Linked DNA regions of Mus musculus. The protein of the gene in region 5 binds, or shares a complex with, the protein of the main gene of each other region. Links are inferred from orthologs where the notes say so. Each region holds a gene or a part of one and is shown on either strand. Other genes may lie near its edges.

The links.
Region 1: Cacna1c (region 5) and Cacnb1 share a complex: the UniProt entries of both Homo sapiens proteins name them as parts of the calcium channel complex. The link is inferred for Mus musculus from reciprocal best matches to the Homo sapiens genes CACNA1C and CACNB1.
Region 2: Cacna1c (region 5) and Cacng1 share a complex: the UniProt entries of both Homo sapiens proteins name them as parts of the calcium channel complex. The link is inferred for Mus musculus from reciprocal best matches to the Homo sapiens genes CACNA1C and CACNG1.
Region 3: Cacna1c (region 5) and Stac3 share a complex: the UniProt entries of both Homo sapiens proteins name them as parts of the calcium channel complex. The link is inferred for Mus musculus from reciprocal best matches to the Homo sapiens genes CACNA1C and STAC3.
Region 4: Cacna1c (region 5) and Cacnb3 share a complex: the UniProt entries of both Homo sapiens proteins name them as parts of the calcium channel complex. The link is inferred for Mus musculus from reciprocal best matches to the Homo sapiens genes CACNA1C and CACNB3.
Region 6: Cacna1c (region 5) and Cacnb2 share a complex: the UniProt entries of both Homo sapiens proteins name them as parts of the calcium channel complex. The link is inferred for Mus musculus from reciprocal best matches to the Homo sapiens genes CACNA1C and CACNB2.

What each region holds. Positions count from the first base shown.
Region 1 is NC_000077.6:98,019,828-98,024,088, reverse strand, and holds the start of Cacnb1 (voltage-dependent L-type calcium channel subunit beta-1), read left to right. Parts: upstream 1-1,461; 5' UTR 1,462-1,663; coding exon 1,664-1,747; exon of another isoform or gene 1,748-1,890; coding exon of another isoform or gene 1,891-2,010; exon of another isoform or gene 2,011-2,086; intron 2,087-4,261. UniProt on the Homo sapiens protein: Regulatory subunit of L-type calcium channels. Regulates the activity of L-type calcium channels that contain CACNA1A as pore-forming subunit.
Region 2 is NC_000077.6:107,702,718-107,706,476, forward strand, and holds the end of Cacng1 (voltage-dependent calcium channel gamma-1 subunit), read right to left. Parts: intron 3,135-3,759; coding exon 3,060-3,134; intron 1,726-3,059; coding exon 1,588-1,725; intron 1,174-1,587; coding exon 947-1,173; 3' UTR 501-946; downstream 1-500. UniProt on the Homo sapiens protein: Regulatory subunit of the voltage-gated calcium channel that gives rise to L-type calcium currents in skeletal muscle. Regulates channel inactivation kinetics.
Region 3 is NC_000076.6:127,500,430-127,504,485, reverse strand, and holds the start of Stac3 (SH3 and cysteine-rich domain-containing protein 3), read right to left. Parts: upstream 2,801-4,056; 5' UTR 2,750-2,800; exon of another isoform or gene 2,502-2,749; intron 1,805-2,501; 5' UTR 1,703-1,804; coding exon 1,637-1,702; intron 1,397-1,636; coding exon 1,132-1,396; intron 919-1,131; coding exon 821-918; intron 631-820; coding exon 570-630; intron 1-569. UniProt on the Homo sapiens protein: Required for normal excitation-contraction coupling in skeletal muscle and for normal muscle contraction in response to membrane depolarization. Required for normal Ca(2+) release from the sarcplasmic reticulum, which ultimately leads to muscle contraction.
Region 4 is NC_000081.6:98,633,345-98,637,566, reverse strand, and holds the start of Cacnb3 (voltage-dependent L-type calcium channel subunit beta-3), read right to left. Parts: upstream 2,801-4,222; 5' UTR 2,399-2,800; coding exon 2,354-2,398; intron 2,274-2,353; exon of another isoform or gene 2,193-2,273; coding exon of another isoform or gene 2,166-2,192; intron 1-2,165. UniProt on the Homo sapiens protein: Regulatory subunit of the voltage-gated calcium channel that gives rise to L-type calcium currents. Increases CACNA1B peak calcium current and shifts the voltage dependencies of channel activation and inactivation.
Region 5 is NC_000072.6:118,604,996-118,608,495, forward strand, and holds part of Cacna1c (voltage-dependent L-type calcium channel subunit alpha-1C), read right to left. Parts: intron 1,320-3,500; coding exon 1,218-1,319; intron 505-1,217; exon of another isoform or gene 1-504. UniProt on the Homo sapiens protein: Pore-forming, alpha-1C subunit of the voltage-gated calcium channel that gives rise to L-type calcium currents. Mediates influx of calcium ions into the cytoplasm, and thereby triggers calcium release from the sarcoplasm.
Region 6 is NC_000068.7:14,957,306-14,960,805, reverse strand, and holds part of Cacnb2 (voltage-dependent L-type calcium channel subunit beta-2), read right to left. Parts: intron 2,041-3,500; coding exon 1,918-2,040; intron 152-1,917; coding exon 15-151; intron 1-14. UniProt on the Homo sapiens protein: Beta subunit of voltage-dependent calcium channels which contributes to the function of the calcium channel by increasing peak calcium current. Plays a role in shifting voltage dependencies of activation and inactivation of the channel.

The DNA.
Region 1 (4,261 bases), on a different chromosome or scaffold from region 5:
TCCCATGCTGCTCATTAAGCACCCCCAGAAGCCCAGCCATCATTTTTTTGTTGTGGGACTTTTTTTGTTTGTTCATTCATGTTTTTTTTTAAGGTTTATTTTATTTATATGAGTTACTGTAGATGTCTTCAGACACATCAGAAGAGGGTATCAGAAGCCATTACAAACGGTTGTGAGCCAACATGTGGTTGCTGGGAATTGAACTCAGGACCTCTGGAAGAGCAAATAGCTAGTGCTCTTAACCACTGAGCCATTTCTCCAGCCTCCTTGTTCATTCATGTTTTGTGACAGGGTCTCTCTATGTAGCTAAGGCTGGCCTCAAACTCATGATGTGATCTAGGCTGGCCTCAAGCCCCCAACATGGCTGTACACCATCAGACCCAGCTTCTGGGCCTCTTACTGTTCTCTCATCTTGCCAAGAATTTCAGTGGGCAAAGATACCATAGTATTAGCAACACTGTAGGAAACAAAGAATGCTTGTTTGTTTATTTGAGACGGGGCTTCTCTATGTAGCCCAGGTTGTCCTGAGGGTCACTATGTAAATGAGGCTGACCTGCCTCTGTCTCCATAGTGTTGGGATTAAATGTGTGCTCCACCACTGCTTGGTGGAGGTCGACCCTTTTAGGATCCAATAACCAGCTGAGCCGGAGCCACAGTTCTGGGACATTTGTTCCTCAGTCAAGGATAAAGGAGAGAGACAACCCTAGGTCAACAGTCATGGTGTATAATTTTGAATAGCTCCTCCCCCCGTTTATACTTCCTCCTCTTCCCCTTCTCTTAGAAGCAACAGGGACTTGCCAAGCCTGACTCCTGGCCTTTTGGAAGAGCCTATGAGACCTCAGTAACTGATGAGGTCGAAGCATTCCTGGGTCCCTGGATAGCAATCCTAATGTCCCTGGTGGCCTTCTTTGGACACTCACCCCATCATCCAGGCCCGGCTGGGGCCAGTAGACCTAGAGCCCGGTTGGAGAGGGAGGTCTACTCAGCTAGTTTCATGGCGGCCTGGGCCTGACACTGGGGAGAAAGGAGTTAAAGGCAGGTCCCAGGATCACAGGGACCGGGAAGTTCCGGTGGCCCAAGCTAGAGTCGCTCAGGGAGACCAGCTGAGAGAGTAGTTTGGGACAGAAAGGGAGGCGGTACCAGTCATACCGAGCGGCGTTTCACCACCTCCCCACCCCCCCATCAACGCTTGGCACACACTGGTAAACGCCCCCCACCTCCATCCCAGCCTCAAGGCCGGTTTCCCCTTAGTCCCCTGCAGGCCGCCCTCATCCCAGTCTAATCGGAGGACAGCGATCGAGCCCCTCCACGTTCTGGAGGCCAGCGGGGCTACGCCACTCGGCCATTGTCTGCGCGCAGCCGGTTGAGGGGCTCGAGGGGCGGGGCCGCGGCGCGGGGCGGGAGCGAGGGAGGGGCGGGGGGAGATGCTGAACCTTCAGGGGCGGAGGCGGCGGCGGCGGCGACGGCGGCAGCGGCCGCAGAGAGCACAGCGCGAGCCGGGAGGGCAAGCAAGGCGGCGAGCGTGCAGCCGGAGGTCCAGCTGGGAGACTGCACCCGGTGCTGGCTGCGCGACGCCGCGCTGCTCTGGGCTCGGACGGCCTCTCCCATGCGCTGAGAGCGCCCGGCTGGGCTGGGAGGGCGGCCGGACCGGAGGATCCTCTCCATGGTCCAGAAGAGCGGCATGTCCCGGGGCCCTTACCCACCTTCCCAAGAGATCCCTATGGAGGTCTTCGACCCCAGCCCACAGGTAAGGCGAGGTGGCAAGCTCGAGGGAAAGGGCCGCTCCTACGGATCTTGGGGTCGGCTTGGAAAGCCCCGGGAAGGAAAGGGTTATATGCCCCGCGTGGATGGGAGAGGGGTGTCTGCGCGACCCTCCATTCTCGAGGGTTAATGATCGATGGACTATTGGTCCGAGTCGGGTTGCGGTGCTGCGGAGCGGAGAGGAGGCGGTTGGAATGCCTGTCAACCTCGCCTCCAGGTCTCCCCCGCGTCCAGGTTCCTGCTGCTGGGGTACTGGCTCCAGCAGGCTGACAGCGGGGATGCTGATGGGGGTTGGGGGGAATCCAGGCCTTGAGAAGCGGAGTTGGAGGGAGGCTGGAGAGCGAATCGGGCGAGGGGGGCGACGCAGAGCACGTTTAGGGGCGCTAGTGGGTGTGGGTGGGGCGGGGGTAATACTGGGAAAAGGCCTAGACGATGGTCAGAGGGCGTTGCCAACAGGCCTTCGAAGGCTCAGACATTGGCTTTCGAAGGTGGAGAAGAGATCAGCTCAGGGAGGCCCTCCCCTAGTCACCTGGTCTCCATCCCTGTCTTGGATGTTTCCCTACTCCCAACACCCACATTAGCTTACCCCACCCCCTGCCCCAAGGGGTGGGAGCCGCCAAAGTTTGGAAAGTTGGATGGGTGCCAACTCACTGTCTTGGAGTGGAGGTCGCTGTTTTACCTGGGGGAGGGGCGCTGCCCTCTAGCACGTTCACTTTTCCTATGTGCCTGGGTTATTCCTAGGTAGGGGCGTTCTTGGGCATACAAGGTCCCCCTAGAATGACCAGCAGGGCATGTGGTGGCCATGCCAGGGGATTTCTCTAGGACTTGTCCTTCTCCAAGGATAGCATTAACACTTGCATTGCTGTGGCCAGCCTGGAGCAACTGTAAGCAACATGATGTGGTTGATGGGTGTGTATGGGGGGGGGGGTCAGGTCAGACCTAAAAATACTTCGTCTCTCCACCCCAGGCCCCTTGGAGTCTGGGAGGCAGCTGACTGATGCCTTCCTTTCAGCTGTCCCCTGTCCCTCTGAAGGCCACTCCCTTTGCCCAGCTGGGGTGAGGTAGTGCTGTGAAAGAGTCTTGAGGTTCACTGTAGAATGCTCTTAGGTCTGTAGAGAGCCTCAAAACTAGTTTAGCTGTATGCTCAGTTTTAGAGAAGGAAAGAGGATCATAGAATATTCAGTCCTATTATTCGTGTGTGTGTGTGTGTGTGTGTGTGTGTGTGTGTGTGTGTGTGTGTGATAGAATCTTATATAGTCAATGCTGGCCTTGAACTTATGATCCTCCTGCCTCTACCTCCAAAGAGTAGAGAATCACAGGTGTGAGTCACTATGCCTGGCTCACCAGCTTCCTTGTCACCAGGTCTCAGGAGCCAGAGCCTGCAGTGTCGCTGAGGTGCCTCTAGGCTCTTTGGTCAAAGAAAGTCTGGGATAGAGGTTAGGGGCAGGAGCTTTTGGGCATTCTGCCCATCCTGTACTGGGCAAGGGCCAAGAATATGAAATATGAGTGTGTGTGTGTGTGTGTGTGTGTGTGTGTGTGTGTGTGTGTGTGTATGAGGGGGGCACAGAAGCAGCTCCCATATAGGAAGCAAAGAGACACTCAATGCCATAACTTTGGCATATGAGAGGTCAGACAGGATCCCCCACCCCAGTTAGAGCCCACTAAGAGAGATTAACCATCTTACCTGGTACTGGCAGGAGTATATGTTCTAGTCTCAGCTTGGGGTGGGGCCACAGGGCCTTTAGATGGATGGAGCAGGGTTAGTATGATGGGGATGGGGCATGGGCAGTAGCAGCTGGCGTGGGAGTAGAGTGAATCCTGCCTTGGGGGGGAATATAAACACTGATTGCCAGGACGGAGGCTGAGAGAAAGTTCTGCTAGGGTGGAGGCAGAGTGGGAAGCTGAGCCTACTCTGAGGCACCTAGGCACCGGCCACAGGTTGGATGTTTAGTTTCTCCGGATGTGGCTGTTCTCTACCTCCTCCCTCTTTTCCTTCCTCAGAAATGTCTTCAAGCGCTGAATGTCTTTCCCTCCCTACTCAGGGGCTCAGGGGAGGAACCAAGCCAGGCCCTGGGTTGCCTCCTCTCTCTGGGGGCACAACACACACTCTGCCCCCTCAGCTCCAGATACAGGGGAGAGGACATCCCCCTCTCTTCCTCCACCCCCCCCCCCAGCACTGCAGGCAGCCTCTCCCTTCCCTGGAGGCTGCTGCAGCCTGCCCAGCATCTTAATTAGCTTTGCTGCCTAATGAGCCTCCCGTTCCTCGGGCCTTCTGCTTCTCAGCCTTCTGCTTGATTTGGGGGATTCCTGTGTGTGCATCCCAGGCTCGCTTGCAAAGGTTCCTCATGGTGACTGTTGTCTGGGCATTGTCAGTGAGGTAGAAGACCCTCTTTCCTTTCAGGCTAGCCACCTCTATGGAGGAGAAGCTGAGGACAGGGGTGGGGCCAAGCAGAGCGTCCGTCCCCAGGCTAGGCTGGCTGTATACAGCAGCAGCCCTGGT
Region 2 (3,759 bases), on a different chromosome or scaffold from region 5:
CTGAGCTGAGACCATGGGGCTTCAGAGCTGAGAGGGGCTGGGTGACTCTAGAAATAACCCCTCCTATTTTTAACACCCTTGCCCAAGCCACAAGGTTTCTAGTTTCATTCCAAACAATTCCAGGGCTCAGACCTTCAAGTTGGAATTCAGAACTTCTAAGCTAACCTGCCTCTTCTCTAAAAGTCTTCAATACCCAGGCAGTGGTTCTCAACCTTCCTAATGCTGTGACCCTTTAATACAGTTCCTCACATTATGGTGACCCCCCCCCCCATCACAACATTAATTTCATTGCTACTTCATAACTGTAATTTTGCTACTGTTATGAATTCTAAAGTAACTATCTGATATGCAAACCCTGTGAAAGGGGTCACAATGCACAGGTTGAAAACCACTACCCTAGAGGACACACCTTCCTTTCTTTCTCCAGGGTTTAGGGTGCTGGGCAGTTTATGGCCAGGAATACCAGCAATTGCTGTGCAAGGCATATGGGAAAAAAAGGAAACATTTCCGAGATCTTTTATTTCAAACCACAGATCCTATCCAGCCAAAAATGTCTCTTGGGAATCCTGGAAGCCAAGGAGAGATGTTCAGTTCACAGAGGAGGGGTTCGTATCATGGCGGAGAAGAGTGGGGGAGGAGCTGACTCAGGACACCCGCGATGCTCAGAACTGCAGAATGAGAACAGGCTGTTCCCGGAAGCTTTCTAAAGATGACCAGACCAGATCGTCACAGCCGTCAGGCATGGTGGGCAAGCCTGAGCTGGGGCAGGCACGGAGGAGGGCCCTTTCATATACCTGCTGGCCTGCTTCCTCTGACCCTGGGCAGGTCTGCGTTTGTGTCCATGTGCACTGTTTGTAGAGGAGCTCAGAGGGAGAGACACGTGAGAGACAAGAGGTCAGGGCAGAGGTGAAACTCCCTCCTCACCTCCGAAAGACTCTGGTTTGATCTAGTGCTCTGGCTCAGCGTCCATGCAGGATTCCCAGGGGTTCTGAGGCATCCGAGGCAGGGAGAAGAGCAGGAGGAACAGCCCACCGAGGAAGAGCAAGATGAACGCGGCACATGCACAGGCGAAAGACCACGAATAGTAGTGCTCTATCCAGACCGTGTCCTCGCTGTCAATCATACGCTTCACCGACTGCCTCATGACCTCCACGGAGACGATGAGGCAGAGCCCTGGGGACAAAGCCAAGAGTCCCAGTGACTGCTGGTGCTCCTGCTGCCACCTCAGTCCTCCCCCAACCTCTGTTCCCTGCCTCTGACCTGGTCCTGAGAGGGAACTGCTTCTAGACTGTTCTAAGCAGGAATCTACAAAAGTGATCCACGCCTACCACTTCCCAAACGTCCAGTTCCCACCTCCTGCAGGAGGTTAGTCAGAGACCCGCCACATTTCCTTCCTTCTCTTGTTAATCACTCACTGGGAAGGTTTGGCCAGTGTCCTTCCCAAGGGAAGTGTCACTGGGGGAAAAATGAACAAAGCAAGCCTTCTCCCTCCCAGCCCTCCTGGGGTCACCTGAGTTCTGACTGAATTTGTTCCTGTGTGGAACCTGAGTCCTCTTCCCACTCAGACACTGCAGGACCCCACGCTACCTGCGAAGGCATAAAACATGGATGCTGGCCTCAGCAGGTAATCACGCTTATTCCCGAAGGACAGAAATGCGCAGATGGAACCCACAATGATGAAGCCGAGGCTGAAGATGGCAATGGCCGCTGCTGAGATGCTGTACTCTGCAAAAGAGAGGGAGCCTCAGAGCGAGAGCCTCTCCAGGCACTTCCTACTGTCAGTGTTCTTAGCGAGGAGGTTCGAAGTTCTGGGCATCCAGGATTCCCATTTTACACCCGAATGAGCGAGGCTTACTCAAAGTCTATATTCTAGGGCAGAGTGGGGACAGGTGCTGTCGACGAACTCATCCGTATCTTCCCCGGGGAACTAAAGTGTAGGGTTCTCTGAAAAAAGGGCCTCAGGAGGAGGTGGGACACCACGTGGCTGGAGATGTTCTTAGAGCCAAAGGCCTCCTGAGTGACAGGCAGAGGAGGTACTGAGCTGTAGGTGGTCTGTCTCAGATTGACAAGGGGACTCCGGAAGATTGACAGTGTGTGGGTGTGGATGTGTGGGGGCTGCCTAAGAATCCATCAGAGTATGTGCCTCTGTGTCTGCATGTGAGAATTTGTATGAGTGTGTGTGTGTGTGTGTGTGTGTGTGTGTGTGTGTGTGTATGTGTGTGTGAGAGAGAGAGAGAGAATCTGTCAGTATACGTGGGTACACTTGTATGTACCTCATATATGAGGATCTCTGTGTGTGTATGCGTGGTGTGTGTGTGTATAAGTGTTCCCTTTATTAGGCTTTCAGTGTGTATACATTTTCCATGTGTGAAGGTCTGCTGGTGTATGCATGCATGCATGCATGAGTGTTCCCTGCATTAAGACTCTTAGTGTGTATGTGTGTCCCATGTGTGAGGTTCTGTTGGCATGTGTATGCATGCATACAAGTATGTCTGTTCCCTGCTTTGTGCATGAAGACCCATCTGTGTGTGCATGTGCGGACGTGAGGATCTGTAGCACGTGCATGAGTGTGTCTGAGTCAGCTCTTACACGCTGTGTGGCGGCTCATTCTCCCAGAGGCCAGGCTGTACCTGCTAATGAGGTCTCCGAGTTCTATGGATGAAGGATGGGATTATCATGTTTCCTCAGCTCAGGGATCTATTAAGTGTGGCCAGGACTCCCACATCCTCACAGAGGCTCTCACCCATCCATTCATCCACCCCAGAATCCTGCTCCAGCACTGTAGGTCCTGGAACCCTTCAAAGCTCCCTGCCCTGGACTCTGCTGGAATACGTTCCAGCTGCAACTTGCAGCCTTCTGGCAGGTCTTCTTCACCCACCGTCCCTAACACCAACCTGGGCGGGGAACCACCCCTTGTGTGTAGGGATGTGACAGGGCACAGCCTGCAGCTACTTTTCATCCTGAGCAGGAGTCAGCAGGTTTCTGCCAAGTGACTCCCGGCGGCTCAGCAGCCTGTGACAGAAATTGCTTCCCACCGCCCCTGCTTCCAAGGGCCTCACCCTTTTGAGTGGTGAATTCAAAGATTTCCGAGCTCTCCCCTGGGTTGAAGTGCCTGAAGTAGGAGCAGTTCTTTTCTGTAAAGGAACAGACAGTCTGTGAGCCGGTAGAAAGGGCAGGTGTTTCGCCACAGGGCACAGAGGGGCCCTCTGGCTCTGGCTACCTGTTTCCGCCCACATTCTGAATCTGGGCCAAACAGTTCCCTGACTTTTAGCACAGCATTTCAGCAGATAAGGAAAGCCTCCAAAAGGAGGCTGAGATGGCCTCAGGGAGTAAAGGGTGATGGAATCTCAGGGCGGACGGTGTGCAAACCCTGAGCTCATTAGGCAGTTAGGGTAACTGAGACCTGGGCTCATGTTGTTCCCAAAGTAGGGGGCATGCAAGCTTAGCAATTAACCAGTGATCTCTGCACATGGATCCATCTCCCAGGCAATGTCTAGAGGCCAAGGATTGTACCAAAAGCCCTCAGCTCACAAGCCACAAGACACAGCAGTTATCCAGTACGGAATATTAACAGTGATGAGGAAGCACCTTGATCAAACCAGACCTGAACCCCAGGTCCATTCACAGTGGGACCCAGGGAACAGCATTTTTCAAAAGATTTCCAGGGCCTAGGGAAATGGCTCTGCTGTTGAAGTGTTTGCTACAGAGCATGGGGGTTCCCTGCAACTGTGTAAAAAGCTGGGTTCAGTGATGGGTGTC
Region 3 (4,056 bases), on a different chromosome or scaffold from region 5:
TGCCAAATACATCTGAGCCAGTTTTCAGCCCCTCACCCACCCTGAACACTGTGACCACCAAAAGAAACATGAACTTTGAACACAGGCCTGCCACTGTGTTTCCTTTTTTGAGTCAGCCTTGCTGTGTTGCCCTGGCTCAGAGAGACCTGCCTGCCTCTGCCTTGTGAGTGTGGATTCAAGGCCTGTACCATCAATTCAACCTCAAGGAATACACTTTGAAGGCATGCCAGATTAGGACCTTTTTCTGGGGGGTGGGGTGGGATATCCATAGCTCTTGAGCTGGCCTCTGGACGTGGAATCACTCTGCAACAGGGTAAAAACAGACTTAATCCTTGTTCTTGCTTAGAAATGGTTTAAAAGGAGCTGTACTGCTGGCCTGCTCATTCACATCTCTTGGCTATAAACCAAGGGACTAACCATTGTATCCAGAAATGGCTGTAAAAAGTCTAGACTGCGGTAGAGCTATGGAGATAGAATGACCCTGTTTCAGAATTTCTTTTCCTAAACGGGTAGTATGACACCACCTTGGAGGCCTGCACCCCTCCCTCGGATCCTGTACGGGTACTTACAGACAGCGTACTGTTGGTCGCTGTAGAGTGGGGAGCTATAGGCCCGACGGAAACCAGGTGGCTGGAGGCGGGATGGGGAGAACATTAGAAGCGGCAAGGCAGGGTCCAGGATCCCACCCCCCACGAGTGAGTGCTCAGCCCCTCTCAGAGTAAGGTAAAGCAGGAGATGTATGGAGTGGCTTTAGGGGCCAGAAAGGAGGACCTGATTGCCCGTGCCTTCCCTTCCTGCTCCCCGGAGCCTCACTACTCACGATCTTGCCGAAGCATCTCTGCATCTCCACGTAGGACTGACAATGCTCATGGATGTTGGTTTTGCAGTTCTTGCAGCGGAGTCCAAACTTGTTATTGACTTCAAGGGGGAGAACGTTTGAGTGAGGTTCTGGATGCCCCCCTTCCTTCACCCCGTGGCTACTTCAGCTCTGGCCTGCCTGCCTTCTACTGTCAACCTCAGCGCTTTCATAGGGTGAATCTTGCCAGTCTGTCTATACAGACACACCTCTCCTTGGTCCTGTCCCTCCCCGTGAGACTTCCATCCTACTGCCTCTGCTTCCCCAAGACTCACGCACAATCATCCGGGCACAGACATCGCAGAACTTGGGCTTCTTGAAGAAGTGATCTTTGAACTTGTGGGGCTTGTCGTTGACGAGCTTAGGAGGTTCTGGGGGTGGTTCCTCCTCTTCCTCCTCCTCCTCTTCTTCCTCATAGATATAGTAGATGGGCCCACCCCCAGCCCCCACCGCCTCTCCATTGGCTTGGGGCTCTGGGGGAGGCTCCATCTCAGCTGTCTCTGGAGAGCCCTTCTTGAATAACTGCTTCAGTCGCTGTAGCTGAGGGAGGGGTGAAGGAAACCCATCATTAAATGACAGTCATGGTCTCATTTTCCAATCATGGGAAAGCAACGTCCCTGGTATTAGGGGGCTGGGTGTTGCAGGTGTTGGCTATCCCAATAATAAATGAGACGCACACAAGCGGTTTCAATCCGAGTAGTTTTCTTCAGAGGCTGTGTGATGGCTTCCCAGCCCTTTGGACCCCGCTCCCCCCAAAAGCGGACATAGGTCCAGACTCACCCCACTTTGCGGAGTCTCTCCTGGAAAGGGGGGCTGAGGGGACTCCACCACTTCCTTTTCTGTCATCTTACAAGAGATTGGGCCCCGCTATGAGTTCTAATCTCTGTCTGCTGTTCTTCTATTCCAGCAGTCCTGCTGCACACAGTAGGGTGGCCCTCGAAGGGGAGCCTTTGGGAGAAACTTGGTTAGACAGCTTTGGCAGAGCTTATGAAGAGATTCTATGGAGGTCCCCCGAGAAATGTCCAACAGAGGAAAGACTCCCCAGTCAGTTGCTTACACGGATACTTTCCACATCAAGGAGCAAGCCCAGAGTCTACAAATCCAACATGCTACTCAAGGCTTGTCTTCTAGGTTCTTCTACAGCAGTTCTCAACCTTCCTAATGCTGTGGCCCTAACGCTGTGGTACCTTGTGTGGTGGTGACCCATAAAATTATCTCACTGCTCCTTCACAACTATACTTTTGCTACCGTTATGAATTGAAATATAAATATCTGACATGCAGGACGTCTGCTATGCGACCCACAGGTTGAGAACAGCTGTCCTACAGGTAGTTCTGATCGATGATACACATCTTCTAGTGGCTTCAGGAGGTTTAACATGGTTAACACGGTTAACCCGTCTGCGTGTCTGAAGGTGTGTCCAGAGATCTGTCCTCCCCTACCTCTCTCCTGAGCCTTGGGGGCCTTGTGCCTAGTTCTTCCCTGGCCTGCCTCAGGCCTCAGCTATTTTAGGTTTTCAGAGTAATGTGAGCCTTCCCTTCCCTTACCCCTCCATTCCCTGGACCCCACCACACCCTACCCCCTTCTCCAATCCTCACTCATCCTGAACTAGGACAATTTCACTTCAAAACCCCAAACTACTCACAGGTGAGGAGAGAGACGAAGAAGCCCAACAGACTCAGGTTAGAAGAAATGAAAGGATAATGAAGAGACGACTTACTTTCCAGACTCCCTAAGTCAGTTCACTGTGGAAAGGGGTCTCTGAGACCTTGATGGTGCTGCTGGGGAGGGCTAGCCCTCTTCCTTCAGGGAGGTAAGCCCCCTTTCTGGTACCTTCTGGACCCACACCAGCTACCCAGACAGTATTAGTAGGTAGGCCTTGGAGCCTCTCACCGTGGTGGCAGAGCTGAAGTGACAGGGCTGGAGGACAGTGGACAGCTGAGAGCACAGCTGACAGGGAGAAATTGGAACCAGGAGGTCTGGGGCAGGGCTCGACCCTGACTCCTCCCATCCCCCCCCCCCCCCGCCCCCCAGAACAGCTCTTCTCCGAGTGTTTACACAGAGCAGGTCAGTTCTGGCTTATCAGGAATAGGCATATTCTACCCAATACAGTAGCACCCCACTCCAAGTACCAGGGATTGAAAACAGGGTTTTGCCATGCTAACTATGTGGCTAGACTGCCAAGCTATACCCACAGCAGGAAAGGCACTCCTGTTCAAGACGCAGTCACGTGAAGGACTTTAGATCTGATAATGGAACCCCCCATACTCTCCCCTTAAGGTTCAAATAACCGTTCCAATCTTACCCTCCCTGGGCTCATTTCAATCACGTTCTTGGATTTTATTTCCTGCCTCCCCCACCCCGATAGGTATCTTTGTGTGGGCCTGGCTCTCCCAGAACTTGCTCTGTAAACCAGGCTGGCCTTGAACTCAAGGGATCATTCTGCCTAGCTCCTGAGTGCTGAGATTAAAAGTATGTGCCACCATGCCTAGCTAACACCAAAACTTCAGGCTAGGAAAGGGATGGGAGCTGAGAAGAGGATGTGACTCAGAATTCTGTCAGCCACGAAAGACTTTCTCACTGGCAGCTGATCGAATGCAGTGCTTTCTCAAGTGCACGGGTGCATTTTTCTCCCCTTTCGCCTAAAATCCTGTCCCTAAGATGAAGAGAATGTATGTTACTGAAAAAGATGGTGGCAAAACCCAAAAGCTATGGGGCTGGAGAGATGGCAGAGCTTCTCTTCCAGGGGACCTGGGTTCAGTTCCCAGCACCCACGTGGCAGCTTACAGAGCTCTGCGACTCTAGTTCCAGAGGACCTACACCCGCAGACACGCTGTATATTTAAACGCATGTAGGCAAATCACCTATACACATAAAACAAAAATAAACCTTTTTAACAAGAGTCAGGTCGGTCCCTGTATAGTTAACCCTGGGAAGGTTACAGCTGCCTGTGTCCTTCTCTCGTCTGTCTGTCTGGATGTGTGTGAGTGCAGGTGTGTGTGTACGTCAGAGGCCATCCCATGGGATCCAGGGATTGGGCTCAGGCTACTGGGCTTACACACTAGCCAATCTCGCCAGCCCACAGCTGCCTTCTGTAATGAGGTTTATTTCTAAGTATACTTTCGTTTATCGTTTAAGCTATACTAAGTGTGTATACTTACTGGGGCATGCCCTCTAACATGTGGTCAAAGGACAACGTA
Region 4 (4,222 bases), on a different chromosome or scaffold from region 5:
GGAAAGAGGTTTCTGAATGTTGAGGTTGAAGAACAGTCTCTTAAAGCCACTGGCTATGACTACCTACCTACAAGCAGCAGAGGCCAGACTCTTTGGAAAAGGCAAACTCACACCCCTGCTGTCAACCAGGCCTACAGCCCAGCCCTTCCGGTGTGCAAGAGGGCTGGTCAGCTAGGTGTTTGGCAGCCCTGGAATCTGAGCTAAAGACTGTGTCTATTGTAAACCAAATGTCTTGAGGCAGCCCCAGAACTGGGTAGCGGTTTGGGGAGGCCTTTTGTTTTGCAGAAGTACAGGCCAGTCTGCTGCCCCCCTCTCTCCAACCATGGGAGAACAAGACCTTGACATGGGGTGAGGGACCTCACTCCCAGAATGTAAACGCTAGCTGTGAGGTGTGGCTGGCAGAAGATAGAGATAGATAGATAGAGACCAGCAGGTGAAAAGGGCCTTGGAGGATGACCACCTACGATCAGATACTTCCTCAGTACCCAGCAGGTATTGGGAGAAGTGTAGCTTCCACCTCCCCAGATCCAAGCTCTCAGTCCAATTTAGTCCTTAATGCCTTTGGGGTATCTAGGCTAGGTGAGCTCTTAACCCTAGAGATTGACAGGGTCTCTCCTTAAATTCTTTAATGGGTTGTGATCTGAATGGAAGCCACTTTCCATAATTCCCATGTCCTGGGGGGTTGCATACGCTGGTCTGGTACCAGTTAGAAAGTAGGTAGCATTCTACCCTGCAGAATGGCAGGCTCTTACTTCCCCACCCATTATGCCCCCAAAGCCAGAGCGTCTCAGTACTCTGGAGCTGCTGGAGTTGGCACAGTGCCCTAGTGGTGCCCCCCTTGCCTGGTGAGTGTGTGGGCAGGCTGCAGCTCCTCTCTTGCCTGGCACAGGGGAAGAAGAGGAGGGAGATGAGCCCAGTGGATTTATTTAGAGCCTGATCTCCCTCCTACTGCTTCAGAGGGGGCCTCGGGGAGAGCAAGGAGCTGGCGGGAGGAAGGGAAGTTGGGGGGGAAGAGATCTAAGAACCGGGGAAGGTCAGGAGGGAGCAATGGGTCAGCAGGCCGCCCTCAAATAACATCCAGGTATCAGTCTCCTGCATCAGCCCCGGCTTCTCACCAGGGATGAGAAGGTAGCTCCTCGGGCCCTGCAGCCCCGCAGAGAGGTCTCTCCTCCAGCTTATTCTGACTCCCAGGGCTATGCCAACTGTCCCTTCAACTGTCAGAAAGAGGTGCCCACCAGAGCCTTCAGAACCACCTCTCTGCTCTCCCTTGCAACGTAATTAGCCCCAGAGCCCCATGGAAAATTGGGTCCTGAAGGAGCCTGGTCCCAGAATCAACTGACTGACACATGCCTGCTCTGAGGCTCACCACTCCTCTTTCCTGGGCCGGAGATAAAAGGCTCGATTTAATCCTGTCAGGGGACCCTTTCAAGCCCTGTTAGTGGTCCTTTCCCATATCGAGTGGGATGTCTAAGGGGAGACTGGTGACTCCATGAGGCTCTGACACTGACCCCCCCCCCCAACTCTTGTCCCATCTTTCCAGGCAGTCTTTCTGCTCTCTGAGCTCCGGGAATCACTGTCTAATGAGCTGATTTGTCTCAGTGGGTCAGGAGATAAAAGCAAAGAGAAGAATTAAATATTTATTGGTTGCCTGGTTCTCGGAGCAAAGAGCTTCCTTCCCATCCCCATGCCCCTGAGCTCCCCTGGCCTCACCTCCAGGCCCTCCTCTGCAGGGGGCTAGACTGAACACAGTCTGATGGCCCACCCCTGTGGTTGGTGGCCTTTCCAAGAAGCTGAGCTAGAGGCAGTGGTGAGTGAGAGCAGTCAAGGCCATGCGCAGGGGGGGTGGGCAGAGAGGAAAAAGAGACCAAGTTCTAGAATTCCTGTCTGCAGAGGCTGGTACGCGAGTCGCTAATGTTCTTCCAGCTCCCTAATTTGTCATTTACTTGAGGCACAAGTCCGGAGTGTCTCCCCCGGAGCTCAGCTTTCCCTGTTGTGTTCAGACCCCATGAACCCAGGATACGGAACTCCAAATGTTCCATGTTCGCTCTAAAAACCTCGGTGTCGGGGCCTTCTGTCCTCCCCTCCTCAGCCTCCTATGTCCTGAGCTTTGGGGCCACCTGCTCGAGCCTTCCCCCTACAGCGTCCCTGTGCACACACCGGAGTACCTGGGATACCTGGCTATGAGAGACCATCTTCCCACTTTCCTAGAGAGCCCCCCGCCGGCTTACGCGCGCTGCCCCGCTCGCTGCCAAGGCGTTTTTCAAAGTGCAGAACTGGGGGAAGGGTTGAAGAGAGAGAGGTGTCATCCCAACTCCCCCACCCCCACCCCCCACCCTCCCCCGCGGGCACTCACCGCCTCCGAGTCCTCAAACCCGGGCACGTAGGAGTCGTCATACATGGGGGAGTCCGGGGTGGGTGGGGGGAGCGAGCGGCGCCGGGGGCGAGGACGGCGGGCCGCGCCCGAGATGCCACCGAGCCGCGCAGCCCTGCGGGCGGCGGCGGCGGAGAGCGCGAGCGCGAAGGAAGGAGCGAGCCGCGAAGACCAGCTGCTCGCAGCTCAGATCACCGCTCCCCTCCCCACCCCCCAGCCCAGCCGGTCCCACCCCGAGCGCGCCAGCGCGGCTGAGGAATCTGCCGCCGGCTCCCACAACAATAGTGCCCGCCCACCTGACCCCCTCCCGGGAAGACGCGGGCGGCGGGGGCGCGGCAGCCAGGGGGGACCCGCCGGGGCCGCGGAACCGGGCGCACGCGAGTCGGGAAGGTGGGTCCCCGGCACCTCCGGGGCCGGGGCGGCGGGGAAGAAGGGCGGAGAGGCTGCAGGCGGGGCGGATCCCGGCGGGGAGGAGGCGGGGCGAGGAGAGATGCAGAGACAGGGACTCTCGCAACCCAGGAACTGCTCCGCCGGGAAACAAAGGGCTGGCGCGGGGGAGGGGAAGGGGAGAGACGCCGCAACCAGACGCGAGCCCGGTGGAGAATCGAGAGGGTGCGGGCGGCGGGGAGGATGGCTGGAGAGAGAGGAGGACTGGAGGCAGGGAGAACGCGGAGACAGGAAAATGGAGATCTAAAGGAGGACGGACAGCAGATGGGGAAGAGGTCTCAGGTGATCCGGCAATGTCAGCTCTCTGCAAGTCCTGGAGACACCCAAAGCAAACCCCGCAGTGGTACTAGGGAGAAATGGTTTTGAGCTCCCAGACCCGTGCCATGAAAGCAGCTCCTGCCCCAACAGGTGCCCGGCCCTCTCCGTTCCGGGCTGCGGTAAAGGGCCGACCCTTAAGAAGGGGGAAGTTCGGGGACGGTGGCTAGGCCTCCCCACACCTGTTGCACGGGCAGATTTTATCCAAGTTAAGCCGGGATGGAGATTCTCTTCTTCACTTCCCTGCCAAGGATTGTGCCAGACATTGCCAAAGCATCCGCGGGAACTGGGGCAGAAAGGGGCTGTTTTAGGTGAGCTTAAAGGGTGGAGCAAAGGTGCGATCCTGACGCTGAGGTTGGGAAGGAAGAAGGGTAAAGCCTACCGCTTTGCAAAAGACCAGAATTACGTACGGTGTGCAGGATGCTGGTTCTAATCATCCAGCACCAGTCAGCGCCCTCCACCCCCACCCCGCCATTCGAGGAAAGAGTCGCAATCTCTGAAGAGATCTTCTAAAAGCTGTCATCATTTGAGCTCGCTCCCTTTTTACATCCCTCCCCCCCCCCCCCCGACCAAAATTTTCCTTTTGCATTTTAACCTCCTGCTTGGGCATCCCAAGAGGATGTGAGGCAGACACCAGCCGTGCTTGGTGTCTCGCTTTCTCAACTCAGCCCTTTGCCACTTCTAGCTCCTGAAACCCCGGAGGGTGTAAGTTCAGGACACTTGCCCACCCTTCCGGTTACAATTGGGAAGGGTTCAAGAGATCTATAGAAGGTTCTGTGCGGTAGAAAGGAGAGGAAGACCACCCACCCAAGCCAACTGGCTTCCCACCTATATCTTATCTTCCTGTTCCCTCGGTAAGAAAAAGATGGGGGGGGGGGCTCATCTAATGACACCCTAGTCTGTCTCCTGACTGAAGGACCGGCAGGCAACTTTATTGGAGCCCTTGTGTCTGAGGGCACCAGCTGCAACTGGGGGAGGCAGCTTCCACTGCTCCAACCCAGTGTGTTTGAGGGTTAGTTCGATATCTTCTGTGTCCCCAAGTACTGCCTTGTCCTGTACCATCCTTTTCCTTTGTCTCCTTAGTCCCCT
Region 5 (3,500 bases):
CCCCTTCATCTTGTGTGAGAGCGACAGATGGTTGGGCTGAGCCTGGGGACCTGCGATGGCTTTCCTGATCATCACTGTCCCTTGAGAGTAGCCAACTGGAGAACCCAACTCTACAGAAGTTCTGGGCTTGCTGTGGGGCAGGGACTCATTTCTACATGGAAGAGAAAACCCTGGAGATTCCTGATGAGGTAAATTGGGAATGGACTTGGAGTCCTAGGTTCTTCCAGGCCTGAGCTGGATGCCTAAGTCGACACTGAATTCACTGAAAAACCGGTATCTCTTCTATGAACACCAGTGCCTGGTGTGAACCTCACAGAGACACTTCGGGCAGCAAGGAAAATGATGCCGCAGAGCATGAGACCTCACACGGTGACTCCCAGCCTACCTTGCTTTCCCTTTCGGAAGTGGGTCTCAAACAGGAAGAATCACCCCCTGAAGATGTTTCCAGAATGCGTGGGTTCAACTAACATGTTAATAAAATATATGCAACAAATGAAAGTGCTGACAATATTTACACTGTCTTGTTTCCTTTCAACAGTTACTCGTTCTAAGTGTCTGTGTGTGTGGACTCCATCAGTCGTCATAGCATTTTGTATAGGTGTACCATGCATTTGTATATTGGATGCAGATGATTTTAACACACCCTACTTTAAGCATTCTACTGTTGTGGAAATTACAAGCGCAGGCATGTTATCTACAATTTCAACTTTGGATTTTAGCAGGGATGGTATGAAGTACTTGCTAGGAAAAGGGGCTTGTGGCTTGGTAGGCATGAGAAATGCTACTCTAGGGAAAAAAATGAGTTTTTAGAAAAGATATGATGAATCTCAGGCAACTTTCCTTCCAGAGCTCTAGAGCAACTCTAGAGCAGTCACCCTAGTGGCTTATGGGTAAACATACATCCATATATTATAGAGTTCCCATGAAAGTTCTGCCAGACCCACAGCATGGAAGGACTTGCCTATTCCCACAGATGAATATGGGGTTACAGCAGATTTCTAACCTGGCAGTTTGCATTCAAGTGTGTGTAGGACATTGCAACCTGGTAGGACCTCTGAACCCTCGGAAGGGTCCAGAGTAGAAGGATCCAGAAGCAGGGGAGACTCAAGTACGGAAGTCTAAAGGGCTGTGTCTGCTCAGCTAAGGACAGCAGGAAGGAGACGAAACCCCACAGGCTAGGCAAATAGCCCCAGTTTGCAAATGCCTGGAACACTTACCGCCTGCAGGGGGCACCACCTGGTCCAACAGCTTCATGCTAGTCCTCTTCCAGATTTTCTTGATGATGGCCCGAAGCTCCTCATTGGCTTGCTCTAGGTTCCCTGATAGAACGAAGTGCACATTGAAAACCTCCCCTGGATGCACTGGGAAGCCACGAGTGGTGGCCTTAGCCCCACAAATCGCCCTGATCCATCACAGTTGTTTCCCTTGCCTTCCTATTTCCTCCCCCTCTCCCCCTCTATCTTATCATCTTATCCCCCTTGTGACTTTCCTCTCTTCCCCTGTTCAAGGCCATTCTCCTTCCCTCCTTCCATGCAAGCCAGCCCCAAGTCCTTCCCCAACCCCTAAGCTGCTTTCCCTCCTGGTTAGCACCAAAGAGCCTGTGGTGCCCGCAGACATTCCTGTCTCAGCCTTGACAGTGCTTGCCCTGCAGGACAGCGCCAAGGCAGATCATGATGGGAGCATTTCATAGTGAGCTCCTTGTGCTGTTGCAGGAAATGGAGACCTTTCGAGGGAAGGACGGTCTACTCCTCCCACATACATACACAACACAGGGGCCACATATGTATCCACAGGCCCTCTGCTGAGTCCCCCAGGGAAGGAAGTAAAGAAATCTAAAAAGAAACCAGAAGGCCTATGTTCTGGTAGTTCGGACCTCCTCTCTCCACTGGTAAAACAGGTAGCATTAGATGTATGCTGTTTGAGACACTAGGCTCCTATTGGTGGAGAAGCAAAGCTAAAAGCCCATTGTAAGAGGGGATATGCTAGATAGGATTCTACGCTCCTCCCAAGGATACCGTCCCTTGCCAGCAGTGTGCACACACTCACTGTGTAATCCCTTGGAGAGGATGTGATACAGGCATTCATATGATTAGATTATGTCACACAGCACCTATTACCTGACCAAAGGAAAATGATCTCTCTGATCTAATCCCAGGAGCCTATTAACTGTCCAGAAGTCATTCATATATATATGAATATATATATAACATTTTGTTCGTTGTGTATTTACTAAAAAAGATTACTTGATTTTAGCCTTCTCTGGCTGGTAGCAGACTGGTAGGACACATGGACTCTGAGAGGCCTGGATGAATGAATACTGCATACTGAGGGAAGTCGTCTCTGGGAGCTAAGACATCCCCAGGTGACAGGCATCTAGTGGGGAAGCGGGGACCACACACTCGTGGATCCACAAAGTAGTGGACCTCCCACAAAGTAGAGAAGAATCCTGGTCACAACCTGAATGAGGTTGGAGGTAGCATCCCCACCCACCCCTCCCCCCACCCCCGAGCCTCTGGAAGGAGCATGGCCTAATTAGTGTACTGAGACCCTGAGCAGAGCTCCCCACACTTCTCTGTGGCTGGACTTCGGACAGAGCTGGAGCTAAATAACTGGGTGTTGTTTGAAGATGTGAAGTCTATGGGGTTTGCTGTAGAGCGATGGGAAGAGGATATGGCTGATAGCTGATAGCTACAGTTATGGGAGGGGATGGCAAACGGTGTGAGCTCTGGGGTCAGACGGCCTGAGGTCAGGCACAACTCTGGATTAGGGCATGGGAGGCAAGCAGTGGCGGTCATGAGGAGAGGGCAATGGCTCCTGAGCGCCTTGAGCATCAAATTCATACTGCACTGAAGCCAGAACCCCTCCCAGGCATCCCAACAGGCCTTCAGTTCCCTTCACTAAAGGTGGTCCAGGAGTTTTTGTTTGTTGTTTTTTTTTTTCAAACAAGAGTTTATCATGTATCTATGATTTGCCTCAAACTCATGATCCTCCTGCTTCGGGCTTTCAGACGCTGGGAATGAAGGTGTGTACAATCCTTCTGGTCTTGGTGGTTTCTGACACACGCAGTGAAAGAACCCTGAGCAAACCAATGTGCCAATGAACTTAGCTTTTGCACTGGGTTAAAAAAAATACCCCAAACTCATGTCTCCCTGAAACCTCAGAATGTGAATTTATCTAGAAACGGGGTCTTCACCAAGCTCACTAGTGAAATAATGATGTGTTAGGTGGACCATGCATCCCACGTGATTGGTGCCATTAGAGCAAGAGGAAAAGGCCAGAGGCACACAGGTGAGTCACACCGTGAAGAGAGCAGCGGAGACGAAGGATGGAGCCAGGTACTCGACGAGACTACCAGAGGCCTCCAGAAAGAGCCAGCCTGCCAACACCTCACTCTGGGTGTCTGCTCTCGTAAATTGTGAGAAGAACCACATTCAAGATCATTTGTTCAGACCTAAGGCACGGACGCATTTCCCAAAGGATCCTCCACATCTTTTAGATTT
Region 6 (3,500 bases), on a different chromosome or scaffold from region 5:
GTTGTTGTTCATACCTGGAATAGAATTTCCCTTGCTTGGCTCTCTGTTCGTGCTGTAGCCTCATGTTCTCTAGTTTGACTGGGCTTGGAATAAATCCGATTTCACAGCCTTCTTTAACCAGCCGTCCTATCCACCAGTCATTATTAAATTTCTACACACAAAATCCAAAGTATTAGAATCAGTTCAAGAGGTTTAAACGTCTGAATTGACTTCTTCTACATCAACTGTTTTCACGGGAGAAAAACATGGCAGTTAGAAGCATACATCTAATACCAAAATTCAAGAAGCCTTTGGGTTTGTGTGTTCAGCTCAGAAAAGTGTGTGCCCAGCTCGGTGTGGCCAGCCAGCAGTCCAATAGAGACTGCATCTCCTTGTTTTTCCCTTTCCAGTGCTGCATTTAGGTCTAAGCTGAGATATGTAATAATTGGTCAACATTCAAAGATTAATATCCCTAGCAAGAGACAATCTAGGAAGTCTTGCAGAGTTCTTTTGCTTATGAAATTGGTTTAATTCAAAGTATTAATATTGAAGAGGAATACTGAAATATACTTGAAATATTCTGTATCAGCAAAATGTACCTCTGCAGTTTTATAGGCATACAGTACAGCATTCACACGTGGTTTTTCTCATGTTTATGCTGGTAGCTTATCTTGCAGGTAAATATTTATCTTGAATCTTCAGGATCTAATTTTATTTTCCTCAATTAAATCTATTATCAAGTATTTTCTAAAAAGCTCATGATTTTTCTTTCTGTAGTACAAAATGATTCTGCTCAAGGTATTAGCATCAAGAAAAGTCTCTATATTAGTTTAACTTCCTGTTGTATGTTCACCCGTTCCTGTGGATGCTCACCATCAATTCTGAACACTTGGATTTCCTTTTTTTTTTTTTTGCATCCTTTTTTTTTTTTTTTTTACATCTTTGTCTATGACTTGTTGCAGTTGTGAGCTCTCTAGCCTCCTTCACTTGCATCAGTTAGTGCATGGCCCAGTTAATTTTCATACTCTCCCTGTGTGAATGCCTCCAACTCTAAATTCCCTCAGGTCCAAAAAAAAAAAAAAAAAAAAAAAAAAAAAAAAGTGAACTCTAGGAAAAATTATCATGTCCCACAGAGCACACATGTGATATGTGGACACCAAAAAAAAATGTAATTAAACGTGAATTTTTCTAATTTAAAGGCTGTCCTTGTCTGTTTAGGGTAACAAACATTTTCTTGGCATCAGCTTCCTTCATGTCTCATTTGCTCTATTTCCCACCATTCCATTCTGCTGCAGAAATGATGCTTCTCTGGTAGAAAGAAGCAACCGAACCCTTCCAGGGAGGCAGGCATGGACGTTTACAACTGGACTCCCAGCACCCAGGTGAATGAAGTGGAGGGAGGGATGGTGGGTAGTAGGGAGTTGTAGCACATTTGAGGCCAGGCTGGGCTATATAGTGAGTTTTAGAGCCAGGGCCACATAAAAGATTCTAGGTCAGCCTGGGCCACAGAGTGAAATCTTGTCTCATTAAAAAGAAGAAGAAGAAAACAAAAAACAAAAAACAAAAAACAAAACCCCAAAAACCTAAAAAGCCTCTTCCTTATATGGCTCTGACTTCAGTCATCAGGAAAAACATTACCAGTAGTCAATCAAGGTAAATCATTAAGAGATAAAAGGCAGGGCACACATAAAATTGGATCACTCAGCAAAATAGTTCCTAATTTCTGGGGCACAAAGCCCAAAGGGGCCCTGGCAATCCTGCTAGGAGCCTCTGACTCCTTTCTACATTGAAGTTTATTTATATCAGAAAAGGTTCTGAGACACCGATTTAGCTGTGGGTTATACAACAGCAGCTAGAACTAAGTCTATTTCACAACACTAAGAAGTAAGTGAGAGCTGAAGGTGAAAAATCACATGGAAGGAAACAAATTCTCCTTACTTCTTTAACATGCAGAAAATCTTTGGCCTCGAAGGAGATGGCCATGCCAGGCACCGGAACGTCATCCTCCTGGGCTGCGCTGTATCTGACATTGGTCCGAACTGCAAATGCAACAGGTTTTGTCTAAAAAGGGATGGGAGGAAAAACAGTAAGAAAAGAAATGACAGTGCCTTTCTCCCTTAAGTACAAAGACACCCTCCAAATATTGTTGGAATAATTACTTCTTCCCATTGGTTCATCATAACAAAGCAGCTTGTTAATATTCTCAATGAATATGATAGCTCTCAGCCACATCCACCCACTTCCAAACTAGAAAAGAAGAGCTATTCTTTTTGAAAGCACGGAGGGAAGAAAAGCCAAGATATATGAATGAAATATGCATTTCAACCTTACAACAGGCAACAATCTGAAAACAGGACACATATACAATGCCCAATTCATTGGTTTGGATAGGAAAAAGCAAAAACGATAAAAACATCCTCCGTACCCTGAATATCCATTTCAATTAAGCAATAACAATGTATTTCCCAGTGGTATAATGTTTGAGATGGAAAAATAACTAGAGAATATACACTTCAGCCTTAGCAAGGATTCATGGCTGCAGGGAATTTCGAAAGCACTGACCTTTTTATCCAACCATTTTTCCTCCTTGAGTTCACTCAGCCACTAAAGATAACATTCATTTAGTCATCTTTCACTTTTTGGTGCTTCTGAAAATTTACAGATAAGTATCTGTTCTCTATTGGCAATACTTGTATATTCTGGAGATAGATAAATTAAGGAGGTTGATTGTGTGGCATGCATATTCTGAGACCAGTGACTATTTTCCCTTCTTGTTTCCTCTCTCCTGAGTATAAGATCAAACAGAAGCTAAGACACCCTGGCCTTATAGAGGGCTCATGGGATGGCAGAGCAGCAGAAAGCATGGTTATAGACCAGTACTAAAATCTGGGACACAGTGGGACCCAAGAGATGATCTAGACCTTGAGGGCAGAAAAGCTGGGTCAGCCTTCTAGATTGAAAATCAGGAGAAGCTCTGAGACTGAGTTCAAGCGACCTTTTTCCCAGCCTCAGTCTGATGGGCTTCCCAGGTTTATCAGAGTTGAAGATAAGGTGACAAAGAAAATAGCTTACATAGACTTGGGGCTATCTCACAGCCCTGCTTGTTTATGCTTCTGCAGGGAGGGCTGGGTGTTGTAGCATTACATTTACATCCATGTTTTGATTCAGGGTCATTATTAGGATATCAGGTTGGCTTAGAATCAGAGTGGTCACTCCATTGTTGTGGAACTATGTTACTGCTCTAGGACTGCATTCTCAGGCCAGTCTCATGTGCTATTCCTGAATCCTTTTCTAACTTGCTTTCCTTCTGTGAGGTTGAGGTACCTGAGGTAGAAGTGCATCACTGAGCCCAGTTTCACTTCTTATGACCTTGTGCCAATATGCCATGTGGCATATGTTACATCCTTTAATGTTGACTATTAACTTGTCTGTGCTTTACTGCCTTCTTTATGGCAAATAGAACTAAAGGCTTACTACGGATTACCTTGTGGAGTAAACCCTAGTGGATCACCAAATCAATA